2 linked regions of the Arabidopsis thaliana genome follow. The protein of the gene in region 2 interacts with the protein of the main gene of each other region in a pairwise test. Each region holds a gene or a part of one and is shown on either strand. Other genes may lie near its edges.

Region 1 (6,023 bases), on a different chromosome or scaffold from region 2:
ACTAAATGGCAAGAAGATAAGACGGATGTGGACAACGAACAATTACTTGCTAAATATTCTACGAAGAGATTTCGACAAGGCCTTGTCATAAACATTGTTAAAACCCTTATGGAAATCTTCATCTGCTATAACCAAATCAAAAGGATTGCACAAAGAAACAGCAGCAGTGAGAGGACAGTTATGAGATTCCTGCAACAAACTAAAAAAGATAAGAACTTGGTAATATCTCCTACATAAATTTCCAAACTCATGGGTTAAGAAAATAACTAACCTGACCCAAATAGTTAACAAGAATGTTGCCTCCAAGAGACCATCCAGCAGCATACAAATTGGCTTTTGGGAATTTATCAACAACATGATCAATCACTTCACCAATGTCTCCTAAAAACGAAGCCGAGTAGAACTGCATTAGCAGTATCATAATACTTCAGTAACAAAATGAAGCTAATTGGCACTATTCATCTATCATCACCAGACCATGAAACAGTACAAAAAGGAAGCTACTTTATGAATCTAAGATGAACCAAGAAAGAGCAGAGAAAGATCAAAACCTGAGGAGTGGTCACAGGACTATCTCCACAACCACGGCTATTAAACACAACACAACGCCATTTTTTACTTTGAGCTCTTAACAACATATGTCTAACATACGAATCTTGACTTCCTCCTGTTAAACCTGGCTACACATTTTTTTAAAGTTCTGATTTTTAAACTCAATACAAAATCAAAATCGAATTTTTGAAATGTTGAGTGTTACCAACAAAATGAGGATTGGTGAATCAGGAGGAAAGTGCCTATCTTCGCCGGCGACCCAATCCAAAGCAACAGAGCCGTTGTCTTTAGTTCGGAGACATTCACGGCGGAGTCTAACGAAAGGAACAGAACGAAAGAAAGATGCGTAGATTGTCTCCACGTGGCGGTTAAATCCGATTAGAGGAAACGCATTGTACGGTTTAGCGAGTGAGTCCTTTAACGACGGTAAGAAACGATCACTTCCTCCGCCGATAACTTCGAGAGAGCTGTGGTGAGAGGGACGAGACATTTCTGGATTCGCGGCGGCGAAAACTGAGAAATGACGGCGGAGAGTACGAACTGATGAGATTAACGGCGGCGATGATGTGGCAAAGGCGACTCTCGCCATTTGCTTCACCACGTCGTCGTTTTGGTAACCACAACGAATTTGCCTAACCGAAAAAACAAAGCAACATTTATGTGGTCGGGAAATCTAAACTAATTTGCAATCAAAGCCCTTGAAATATATTATTATAACAAAATCATCCTTACTTACAGCGACTACATTTTTCAACCCTATGCGGCTATGCCCGTAGGAACAATGGGCCTTGGGCTTTTATCCCCACTTTTTGCAACTGTACACTGTGTCTTTCATGTAACCATTACGCGGTGTTGACCAAGAAAAGCCAGAGAGGATTTGATATTTTTACCACTAAATGACTAAATGCAATTTATTAGTAGCTTTTGAACACTTCATCCACGTGAAAGTCTCCCAATTTGGTCATTTCTATGTATTAGTTGTATTAAATAACGAAATCAACTTTATATTTTTTATGGTAAAAATTATGTAAAAGTCAAATTTTCTAATTACAATTTACAAAATTTACACATTGACTAACCAATTTAACCCCTCTACTCAGCTATTGAACTCAACTCCGCCGTGAACTTTCTCCTCCCTTTACCACCACCACCACAACCTCTTCCGCCGCAACCGTTTCTTTTAACTCTTCTAACTCTACACTCACCAACATCTTCATCGTTGTAACTCAAACCTCCTCCACCGCTTTTCGCAAGCGCAGAGCTTGCTTTAACCGCTAAAGCCGCCATTTCATCTGCTCTCAATGGATGATTAAGCCATGTTAATGGTAAAACGAAGTACAATTCTCCTGGTCGAAGATCCTCGCTTCCAGGGACAGCTAAAACGGCGTCGTCGAAATCCATATCGTCGGAGTTACAAACAAAGCTTGTAGGATTCTTTTGAAGAATCTGCCACACTTTCACCGGCGTTGAAAACTCTTGTAATGTTCCGTCTGGTAATATCAGCTTCGCCGTCTCTGTTCTCCGAGATTCACGTGAAGCGCAAGCTCCCATTGTTTTAGTACTTCTTTGTACGTAACTCGTTGAGTTGACTCGTGACTTTTAGAAAGTTTGTAGATAGAGAAAGATAGAGAGAAGATCTCGTCTGTGTGTTTGAAAGAGATACAAACTACTCGTGGGGCTTTATATATATATAGAAGAAAGAAGAAGAAGAATGAGTGAGCCTCGTGATTCGGAAACTTCAAGTAACGTTAGGTTTTTGTCGTCTAGTGTTCATAATCAGACAGGACACAGCTCACGCAATATTATTTGTCTTACTGAAACTACAAATATACCCTCATCATGCAATTTAGAAGGAGTAATTTAGATTGGTTAATGTAAGGGGTAGATTTGGAAAATTGGAGATGAAATCGTGGCGAAGAAGGAGAGAAGAAAGGAAGAAAGTGTCCACGTGCAAACATTAGAGACTTGGGACAAAATCAGAAAGCAGACAAGCTTAGGTGGCCGGAGGTTTAATTTCCGGCGGATGGGGTGCATGAAGCTTGGCTTATGGAGCCTCACGTGAAGGCCAATAAGACTAAGCATGGGTAGGGACCAAACCGGTCTAATGGTCCCATTTAGATTCATTCGGTTGCATGGGTCACCGGTCACCTAACGAGAGATTCGGGTCTTTAAGTCTATATACGTGCATCATTCATTAGTTTTAGTTTAATTTAATTTGGGTATGAACGTGTGCATCAATAATGTGAATTCAACTCGAAATTATTGTGTGTCGATATGGTATTACGGTCCATCAACGCTGTATCGAATTTTTTTTTGTTACATTTTAAATATTTTAAGTAGGATTGATTTGTTGAAGAATATCGCTTTCCGTTGAAGTTTTTTTTTTTAGAATTGTTTTGTAGTATCTAAAGTCGGATACTTGTGTAACAACCAAACCAATATATCAAATCATAAGCTTCAATTATATGAAGTTATGAACCTCTATTATTTCCTACCACTTTATACTTTTTTTTCTCAAAAGAAACCTATTTTAGTTAAACTAACATTAATGTAACGATTAAAGTAGATATAGTATATTCTCTGCTTTTCATATATGTTTGGGATTAGGAACACCCACGTTTCGGCCAAACTTTATTTTTTAGTTTGTGCGTATGATAAATGAAGACAATAACACTGATTTTGTCCGATTTCTGCTGTCCTTTATATATGATCATCAGAAAGAACTAGTCCCAATTGATGAATACAGTACAATAATGTGTGTTCATACTATTATATTTTATGGAACAGAATTTGACTAGCCACTAATTAATTACTAATATGGCGTAAATTATTTAACCTACCATGACACTTTTATTATATAAAAAACAATTATTGACGTTTATAAATATAGACCACGTACGATGGTTCGATCTCTGGAGAGTTAACTGTTGGAACTCAATTTTACATATGTGACTCCGGCCAATTTTCCGGTGACTTTTCCGTTGATGTCCGTCACCGAAATGACCGGATTATGGAGTTTTTGGATTCCTTGTAATGAACACTATAAGATAGTGTAGTTACATATAAAAAATAAAGTTATTATAAATGAGTAATTGAGGTCCAAAGTGGTGAGAAATAAAAGGTCGGTCGGGTTTTTCGATAACAAATTTGCGGATAAGATCATATGAGAAAGTTGTGAGGAAAATTCTCCATAAACAAACTGATGGAGAGGGTTTGTCTCGGAGTACGTCAGCAAGAATGAGCATGCCAAAGCCACTTGGCAGAGAGTATCCTTAAAGAGCATGTTAGCGGAGAAGAACCTCCCAAAACTTTTTTTCTTAATATAGAGTTTCGTCTTTTTTTAAGTATTTTGTTATTAGTATCAAAAGTTGAATATGTGTGTAATATTTTGTAACCAAACACAACATTTTAATTTTGAAACCCTCCAGCTGTTTTTTTTGTCTATATGGTTATAAACGTTGTTGATTTTGAATCGCGAACATTTTTTGAGGTAAAATAAACATGAGATTGGATAATAACAATAATAAGATATAAATTCTTCAGAAAAAGACTAAGGAGATCTTCAGTGTCAATCATACACACGCGTACGAAACCTACTGACTACGATCTCTTGATACTTGATGATCAGTGAATGTTACGATTTGCAGTAACTATATATAAATTGGATAGTATAAAAATTTATTCAAATCATTGTCATTATTGATATGAGATGTTAATTAGTTGAGTGTTTAAGAGGTAATATTCTATTTGCATTCTGTAGTGTTATATATGTGCTGTCCCACGCCAATAGAATTGGATCTTTTTGGTTAAAGACTATAAAATTGTTTATGTTATTACATGTTTCAATAGTTAGTTACTCAATCGCATGGACGACAGTTCATAAAAGAAAATTTTGGAAAATAAAAAACACGATAAATTACAATTATTAATTTCCACGTGAAACGGCATTAAACTATTTCTACTTGTCGCGTTAACCTATTTTAAATTACAGGGTGTTGAAACTTGTTTATATTCGTAAACACACAACAAAAGTACAAAAAATCAATCCAACCATATAATACACATACTCGTCGTTTTCCCATTGATCATCCAAAGGAAATTGATCCGACAATGGAAACATAAATTTGTCAATTTTCGAGTTTTAAACATGTTTGGCCCCCAAAAAGAAGAAGATTTAAACATGCATGTATATAATTTGTTTAACCTTGAATTCATTTTTCATAAAAATTAAATCATCTCTGAAACCTAAAAAAAAAAAAAACATGTATACACACTAGATTTTAACCCGTGGAATAACGCGGGAACAATTTATTTTTTAAAATTAGTATATATAAAAGTTTATAAATTGTATCTATTTATAAAATATTTTTATTTTATAGTTTACAATTGTTATTAAGTAACGTCTTGCTAAACCCGTCCCGTAAAAAAACTCATTTATTTTATTAATGTTGATCTTATTTATGATATGTTAATGAATCATTACCTAAATATTTTGTAACTTTGTAGTAATAAAATGGGGTAAACGACCTGTGTCCCTTTCGGAAGTTTCATATACCATTAGAACTACACAGAATTTCAACCTCGATCTTGGTCCACACAAATAGAAAGTTCTAGTCCTATTTCTCCCTAATTTGAAAGTTCGAAACCTCAAAACACATAAACGCTTGATTAATTGGTTTATAACATAAACCGATATTAAACCACTTAAACCAATCCTAAACCAAATTAAAAACCTGACCCATCTCCTTCTACCCCATTTGACCCGTCTCCTTCTCCGCCATCACCTCCCGATCACAAAACCAACATATACATCTCCATTCCTGGAGTTTCGAAGCTTAAAGGAAGAGAAGCGAGGAAAGGCGATGTATTTGCGGCGGCTCGACAATGGAATCAAAGGACGAGAAGTATCGATAATGGAATTGAAATTCTCCGTATCGTTGTCCATAGAAGAAACTGAAGAATTTTCCTCCATTGTTTTTGGAAAAACATCATTTGTGAACACATTATTTGAAAGAGCATTGCGGATATATGAATTTGGAATTAAGTCAATCTCAAATTTTAGTCTTTGACTGAAACTCTATTTTGCTCTTCTTTTTAAATAAATTTTTCTGGAAATAAAGCAAGTCCTGAGGGGAAACCATGACATCGTTCGTAGAGGAGACAAACCCAACGATTTGGAATCTCATTATTGTCTCATTTTGGTGAATCGTTATCATTTTGTAGCTTATGACACGGTTTTTGTGCCATTAACATTTCAATAGTTGCAGAGATCAAAAAGCAATGTAAAACAGAGACAAAAATTGCAGAGCTTGAGTAAATCGAGTTATACAACAAAACAACAAAGCCGACTTAATCATAATCTTAAAAAGCAAAACCAAAAATAAATCCATTGTATCTTCTAATCTTATTTATCCTTGACTGAAAGTGTCTTGAGAAAGTTTGTTCGGAGAAATAATGCATTGAGAAGGCTC
Region 2 (8,264 bases):
GATGATAGGGATTTTCCAACAGAACAAGCACCAAAGGATCAGAGCGACGAGGTTAGTGCTGATGAAACTGTCCCTAAAGAAGCAATAGGCGAGGAACTTAAGGTTCCATCCTCAAAAGTACTAGATGATATTCAAGAGAACAGTAACACGGAAGCAGTGACGAACTTTGCTGACCGAGATCTTCCAGTACAGAATCTAAGTGAACTCATTCAGTCTCATCAATCTCCCAATCAGGTGGAAGAAACATCATTTGAATTCAACAAGGCACAAGAAGATAAAAAAGAGGAAACTGTTGATGCTTTGATTACGAACGTGCAAGTGCAAGATCAGCCCAAGGAAGATTTTGAGGCTGCTGCAATAGAGAAAGAGATATCAGAACAAGAACACAAGTTGAATGATCTCACCGATGTCCAAGAAGATATTGGTACATATGTTAAAGTGCAAGTTCCTGATGATGAAATAAAAGGTGATGGCCATGATTCAGTTGCAGCACAAAAGGAAGAAACTAGCTCAATAGAGGAGAAGAGAGAGGTTGAACATGTCAAGGCAGAGATGGAAGATGCAATCAAACATGAAGTTTCCGTAGAAGAGGTAATATTTAAAGCAAAGAAACATAGGTGATTTCGTTAACTTAGATGCTGTGGTTTTACTAATTATCATTTGTTGCTGACCGAAATTTTTAATGTGATATTGGCAACGCAGAAGAACAACACATCTGAAAATATTGATCACGAAGCTGCAAAAGAGATAGAGCAAGAGGAGGGTAAGCAAACAAATATTGTCAAGGAAGAGATCAGAGAAGAAGAGGTATGAACCTGAACATTATTCAGTGTTTCTTTTGTTTTCATACTCGTTTAATATCTAAATCATAGAAACCATGTTTTTGCAGAAGGAAATAAATCAAGAAAGTTTCAACAATGTGAAGGAAACTGATGATGCGATAGACAAAACACAACCCGAAATTCGGGATATTGAAAGCTTGTCTTCCGTCAGCAAAACACAAGACAAACCAGAGGTACAATATACTTTGGTTTGGTATCATTATCCTGCTTTTTCCATAAGTAATGGACACAAATTCTTTCAAAGTCACAAGTCCTGAAAACAAAAGCTTATTTTCATTTTTTGCAGCCAGAATATGAAGTTCCAAACCAACAGAAAAGGGAAATAACCAATGAAGTTCCAAGCCTGGAGAATTCAAAGATTGAAGAAGAACTACAGAAAAAAGATGAAGAATCTGAGAACACCAAAGATTTGTTTTCAGTAGTAAAAGAAACTGAACCAACATTGAAAGAACCGGCAAGGAAATCACTATCTGACCACATCCAAAAAGAGCCTAAAACAGAGGAAGATGAGAATGATGATGAAGATCATGAACATAAAGATGATAAAACAAGTCCAGATTCAATAGTGATGGTTGAAGCTAAAGATACAGTAAGCATTGTCAAGACTCATAAGAAATCTCACGGCATTCTCTCTGGTGTTGGTTCAAAGGTAAAGCATTCAATTTCTAAGGTCAAGAAAGTACTCACTGGCAAATCTTCTCACACAACAAAGCCTTCATCACCTACATAAGTGAAGAAACAAGAAAAACACAATCAGTGTCTATAAAAGGTTTTTTATTGGTTTGTTATTTTTTTTATTGGTTTGTAATATGTGAATATTACAGATTTGTTTGTGGGGTTTTTCACATGTTCAATAAATTGGTTTGGTTATTTGTTTTTACCTGATCATTGGCTAATTCTCTCCGGCACTTTTTATGAACCTTAAACAAATACAATTACATATGTTAGTAATTAAACAAGTTCATAGTTACATTATAGTACAGTAGAGAACAAACGTTTTCTCATGTGTGTTTATCTAATCTAAGTTTGTAATATAAAGCTCTTGCTTAGCAAGAAAATACTTTCCAATAAGATCACCAGATTCAACAACAAACTGTTCTTGAAATCGGCCAACACGTCTACTTGCGACATCGAAGCCAAGATCTTTGAAACTCGGAAGCCCTTCTGCTTGGACTCCATCACCACAGATCAGAAACTGATTTCCAACAATAAACGATCCAACAGCACGAATTATGACTCCACCACTGCCGCAAGGTTTGCAATGAAGCTTCTCAACGACATGAACAAGTTTCTCACTCGGTAAATCTCCTGTTAATGTGTTACGAATGTCTGATAATGCTGAGAAGATTTCAGTTGATCCTGTGTTATGTTTCCCAGAGAAACTGAAAACTGAAGTTTCAGTGTAGAGCGATTTTGCGTGGTGCCAAAGATCATCAAATCCATCAAAGAGGGAGTAATAATGTATGGTGAGCATCTGAACAAAAATCCAATAAGATCATTAATGTTAACTTTAATTTGGTATTTTCGAACTAAGAAAAGTCTGATAAGATCATCATATACTTACATCAGCTAAATCTTTCAATCTCTGAGTTGGATCAAAGATGCTTTGAACAAAAGTCGCCAAATCTACTCTTTCCTTCTCGTGTTTTGTAATAAAAGGGTGTGACAAGAGCTGTTCAAGTAGCAGAGGAAACACCATCAGACTTGAATCAAAGCAAAGCTTTATAGGAATTATCTAATAAATTCAACAGAAAGAATCCAATTCTTAACCAGACTTGTATTAAAACAAATAAATACAAAGAAATGCATCGAACTTCTAACAAACAGACGAATACTAAGAGAAGCACCAAACTTTTAACCACAATTTGCTCTAAAAATGACTTATTTCAGTAAAGTACTAGACTGGTAAATGTATGACATTTCAGTTTTACCAACCTGGTCAGCTGTTGGTCGAGCATCTGGATCCTTCTGGAGGCAAGCATCAATGAAGGAACAGAACTCTGGTGAGAATTCTTGTTTTGGTGGTGTTGGTGAAGGATCATCCAATATCTTCATTCACATAACAGTAATTAGTGTAAATATAAATAATATATCGGAAGAAAGGATTTGGGGACAAGTTGATTAACCTGCAACATAAGATTAACAGGCCCTTCATTAGCTATATACGGAAACTCTCCAGTGCCGCATTCAAAAAGAGCGAGACCAAGGCTCCATATATCAGCTGGATAAGAATAACTGTCATTCCTTATCCTCTCTGGTGACATGTAGGTGACAGTTCCAACAAAAGTAGCACACTTTGCAACCATCATTTTCAGATAATACAAGTTAAAAACTCATCAAAAAAGGATTACTGGATTAATAAGGAGTGAAAGACTGAGATACAATCACTAACCATAGCCATTGAATTCTCAAGGCCAGCACTTATGCCAAAATCGGTTATCTTCGGTTCCCCTTTGAGATTTATAAGCAAATTAGCAGGTTTAATGTCTCTATGAACAAGATGTCTCACTCCATGCAAGTAGCTCAATCCCTTAAAATGAAATCACATCACTAAGAATGAATTTATATACACTTAAAACATAACGCATATATATGTTGCACATTATAGAGAGAGTTAAGTATCTTTACTTGCAAAAGTTTGTGGAACAATGATGAAAGAACCGGCTCAGGTATCTTCTTTGTTACTTTTAAAATATCAGCAAGAGATCCTCCATTCATATATTCAAGAGCTATGCTGATTTGTCCCGAGTCTGGACTATAAAACGCTCCGTGAAAATCCACAAGTCCTTCATGACAAGGAGCTTCACACAATGTCCGTATCTCTGTAAGCAATTGCTGCCTTTTCTCCTGCTCACCAAAATCAGTACATATTCAAAAACACATACTAAATGGAGTCACATTTTTCTCTTTAAACTAGCAAAAGAGATTAACATTACCCTTTCAAAGATATTAATCTTCTTCAACGCTAAAATTCTATGATTAGGGATATGAATAGCTCGTTGAACAACGCTGCTAGCTCCGCTTCCTATAGCTCCAAAAACCCGCATTTCGTGAGAAGCACATTGATACGTCGTCTCGGAACTTTCAGACTCATCCACATGAGAAGATGTACATTTTTGTAACCCGAGCTCGTTAAAATTATAAACTCCATATGATCTACTAAGTAAATTCACAGTCCCACCATCAGATAACTTCACAAACAAACAAAAAGAAGATAAAAGTAAACAAACCAGAAACATAACAAAACTTCTTAACAACGAAAATCACAGGAATCTTACTAAATATGAATCGTTTGGATCCAAAGATGAAGATGAAGAAAAACCCTTCTCAGCATCAAACAATGGAGACAGCTTCTTCTTTAGCTCCTCCAATGCCGCCATGATAACTACTTTTTCTGTAACACAGACAAGAGTCAATGAAAAAACCCCAACCTTTTTCTAAATTCGAAAACTTTCTATTTAGAAGAAACTAATTTAGCTAAAAAAGAAGATTTCTTACTTAACAAAACATGAAAAGTCCCCAAAATTTTCAAGTTTCTATAAATTAATTTCAGTTTTTCTTATAGCCCTTCAATAGAATTGGATTCAAAGTCGTGATTAGTCAATAAAACAGTTATAATTCACAAAACATAACAGTGAACTAATCGTAGAAAATTCAGAATTAAATCAACGGATCAAATTCACAAATTCAAAAAAATCATACAAAACCAAAATGATATAACTCTTAGAATTACAGATAAAAACTTACCTTTGTTACTCTCAAAGTTTGTTGCTTTTTTAATAACCCTTTTCGTTCTTCAAAGGTTTGGTTTTTCTTTTTGGGTGTCTCCTTGAGATGTGGAAGATGAACACCCCTCTCTAATGTTTCTCTCTGAAGAAGCAACTCCGACAATAACCCTGTGTCGTTCTATGTTTTGAAAACTAAATTACGTGCCGTTTTAAAAGTATTAGATAGCACGAAGTTTAGTTTGTAAATTTGAAACGAAGAGTTAATTGTGTTTTCGTGGGCCAATATATATTAAGAAGTGGCCCAACAACTATCTCCTCCAGGCCCATAAGTTTATTTTTTCTCAGTCAGTTCCAGGAATTTACAACCATCTGTATAATGTCCCTAAACCCCAATTTACAATTGAGACACCATCAATGAAACTCAAAAGAAATAATATTGTGGTTTAAAGGCAAGGAAATCAAATGAAACAAGGAAGGATTATAAGTATAGGTTTTTTTTTTTACTTGATTACGTTTGATCCAATTCATGGAAACGTAAAAACTATTTAACAATTAAAGTAACATAATTACATAAACCATCTTTAACATAAAAGTCAGTTTACTACCTCGTACGGTATGTGTTCCAAGTTTGTGTGCATTCCATATGGTCCGAAAGAAATAAACCTAGACGTAGACATGGGGAACAAAACTTGTCTCCTTCACTCATGTCTTCTTTCATTGAGCGTATCGTCCGAACTCTAGAACAGACTTTCAAGTCAAAAGGAAACCACAACCAAATTCGAGGATGTCTTAAGAATTTGGTTTGGTGAAGGCCCTAGTGTTTGTCTTTGGTGCTTGAAGGCCCTACTGTTTGTCTTTGGTGTCTTTTTATTTATAAACGTTCTGAACTTTTAGCATAAGGTTACATTGGCGGAAAAAAGTATAAGGTTACATTTATTATACAAAATATGTTTTAGGATGAATAACATTCATTCAAAAAGAATCAAAGCAAAACATGCCAAATAAAATATTTGATTTTTGTCCACTTTTCATGATGGGCGAAAGTGTGAAACCTGAAACCTGGTTCTTGATGTTCTGGAATCAAATTACTTATGATGTTACTTGTATGTACATTTTTAATTAGACTCATAAAGTGTCAAGTCAACATAAGATATTTTCTTTAAAGTTTTTCATGGATTAAAAAATATTCGTAAATTATATTCAAAACTTAAAATTTACTAATTATATATTTTGTTAGCATATAATCGTTAGTGTCCAAAACTGTTTAAAACTTGTGCAAAGTCTCTTCGGTTCTAATTTGTTTTCAAAATCAGAGATATTTCTCCACCATAGATGAAGGACGAAAATAATACTCATTCTCTCCCATTCATTCAACAGTGAGGCGGAGGTGGTCGTTGCACCATGAAAGGATCTCTGATGATGCACCCAAGAAGGATCAACCGTAGACATATGCATGGAGACGCTGGAGATGTATAGGGTGAGCAAATTTTGATGGATCTAGGCAAAAGTTTGATTTTTCTTAACCCTAGACACGAAGATTCTAAAGAAGTATTCGGTGAACAAACTCTGCCAAATTTGGACAGAAAATAAACTAACAAAGGTGATTCTAGATTAGAAACAAAGTAGACTAGCCTGAAATGCAAACAAAGATAAACCAGAGAAGTATCCAGTTAATTGCACATATGCGCTAGAGGAAAGATTTAGTACCATGAACTGCACACAACAATAATAGATCGCAAGGAGGCAAGTGGAAGACACAAAGATCATTATCCAAACAAGGGTGAATGGAGGAGATGCTGCTAGGTGAGGTGGTAGAAAAGGAAGGACCATAGGTCATAACACCGGAGAAAACTCCCACAAATTGGAACGAATGGTCAACTTGGGGCCTGAGGGGGCGGATCTGGAGGTCTGAGGGGGTAGCTCACACCAAAGTCGTAGAGATCGGACTTCATAGGTAGTGTGGAGACATGAGCAGCTCAAATAGAGACAGCGAAAAGGAGGCTGAAAGCATGAGAGTTAACATCTCAATAGCTACACAAACCATGGAGAAACTAGACTAAACTTCTCGTCGGCGACAAGGACCACTAAAATACGGATCAGCTGGGAAGGATTGGGTGATCGATCCACGAAATGGAGTTGAAGATGTTTAGATAGAGGACCTAACAGAAGAGCACTCATCTTGAACCAACAAGACGGATGCAGCCACATTGGAGAACATGCCTAGAATAATTTGAAATTTAATTTCAGAATTTTTTTTCTTGCTTTTATATAATTATGGTTGAATTATTATTTAGAAGTATTTTATATTATTTTAACCAACACTGAACTGATTTTAGAAAACAAAATGAAACCAAAATGACATTAAATCGAACAAAATCAAATAATCACCAACTTGTATTTAAGTGAACCAAATTATGGATTTGATGACTTCTAAACATAATCTTTTTGTATGTATGGAAAATTGAGATTTTTTGACAAAGTGATATAGTGATATCTTTAGCGGTAAAAACACTAAAGATTAATAGAAAGCGTAGGAATTTAGTATTCTATGGAAAAGTAGAGTAGTTATTAGTTAATTTAATGTTCTTTACTATAATCTTTGTTTTTTAAAGGAATATAAAATATGTTATTTCTGAAAATACGAACGTTACTTTATCAAAATGTTTAACGAGAAATTATACTATTTTAATAATTAAAAAACATAATATGGTTGGCATTTTTTCATAGGAAAAATGTTAAAATAAACGAGTTTTCTATGGATGGTGAATTGAGAACTAGTTGAGTCTAAACAATTGAGTACTTAAATTCAAGTATTAATGGACTCAACCTAAATATATTATTAAAAAACTATCTTCAGTGCTCAAGAAAATAAAATAAATTTTATCTAACAGAAATAAATTCATGACATGTATGACACGTGTTGTAATATGTCAAATTTTCTCTTTTAAACACAAACGCTCTCATAAATCATTATAATTTCATAATTATTTATTACAATTTAAGAATATAAATGTCTATTTTATCCTCAAGTTGATATTGTATAACTCCTCATCTCAAAATCTTAAAATTAGAACAATATCTAAAGTACTATCTTTAATTACATCCAATTATCTAACTAATTATAGTGTGTACTTTTTTGGTTTTTTGGCCCATGGTTTTATATTTAACTCACTTTTATTATCTATAAAACGTGAAAACAATGATTTGTTAAAATTAATGACTTGTAAAAATATTTGACAAGTCAAAGTCTTTGCCACTCAATTTCTACAAAATTCATTAATACATTTGTTACCTTTTAAATAGATTTTTACCTTTTTTGTTTTATTTAATTATTTGAAGTACACTTTTTTATAACCACTCACTTCTTATCGTCTTATCTGAGTATCGTTCTTTCTAAGATTTTCTATAACTTTCCGCCCATCTTTGGGTTTCAATATTTGTTTTACGGATTTCTGCACTCGATCTTTGTACTTCTTAGATTCATATCGAGATTTAATCAGTTTTCCATTTTAGAATCATCATTTCAATTCAAGTTGGTGTTTAAATGGAATTCTCATTGATCTCCGATGAAAATTTCATCTTAAACGATGCTCATCGATGTCCTGTTAATGATGATGCATCGCATATACCAAAAAATAATCTTAACTTTTTCAATGACAATTTAGGTCAATCTTCTCGTACTGGATGGTCTTTT

Evidence for each region.
Region 1: the proteins of MKK3 (region 2) and AT3G50800 interact in a two-hybrid assay, tested with the Arabidopsis thaliana proteins (one large-scale study listed by BioGRID).

Annotation. Positions count from the first base shown.
Region 1 is NC_003074.8:18,880,800-18,886,822, forward strand, and holds AT3G50800 (uncharacterized protein), read right to left. Parts: upstream 2,235-6,023; 5' UTR 2,104-2,234; coding exon 1,645-2,103; 3' UTR 1,313-1,644; downstream 1-1,312. Other genes in the region: AT3G50790 (esterase/lipase/thioesterase family protein), read right to left, coding at 47-189, 272-403, 552-680, 758-1,141.
Region 2 is NC_003076.8:16,178,107-16,186,370, reverse strand, and holds MKK3 (mitogen-activated protein kinase kinase 3), read right to left. Parts: upstream 4,744-8,264; 5' UTR 4,590-4,743; intron 4,237-4,589; 5' UTR 4,223-4,236; coding exon 4,121-4,222; exon of another isoform or gene 4,082-4,120; coding exon of another isoform or gene 4,034-4,081; coding exon 3,779-4,033; intron 3,690-3,778; coding exon 3,471-3,689; intron 3,373-3,470; coding exon 3,235-3,372; intron 3,137-3,234; coding exon 2,969-3,136; intron 2,958-2,968; exon of another isoform or gene 2,892-2,957; coding exon 2,778-2,891; intron 2,515-2,777; coding exon 2,407-2,514; intron 2,317-2,406; coding exon 1,858-2,316; 3' UTR 1,724-1,857; intron 1,722-1,723; downstream 1-1,721. Other genes in the region: AT5G40450 (A-kinase anchor-like protein), read left to right, coding at 1-591, 703-807, 890-1,015, 1,129-1,572. UniProt on the Arabidopsis thaliana protein: MKK3-MPK6 module plays an important role in the jasmonate signal transduction pathway through the negative regulation of MYC2/JIN1 expression. Activates by phosphorylation the downstream MPK6, MPK7 and MPK8.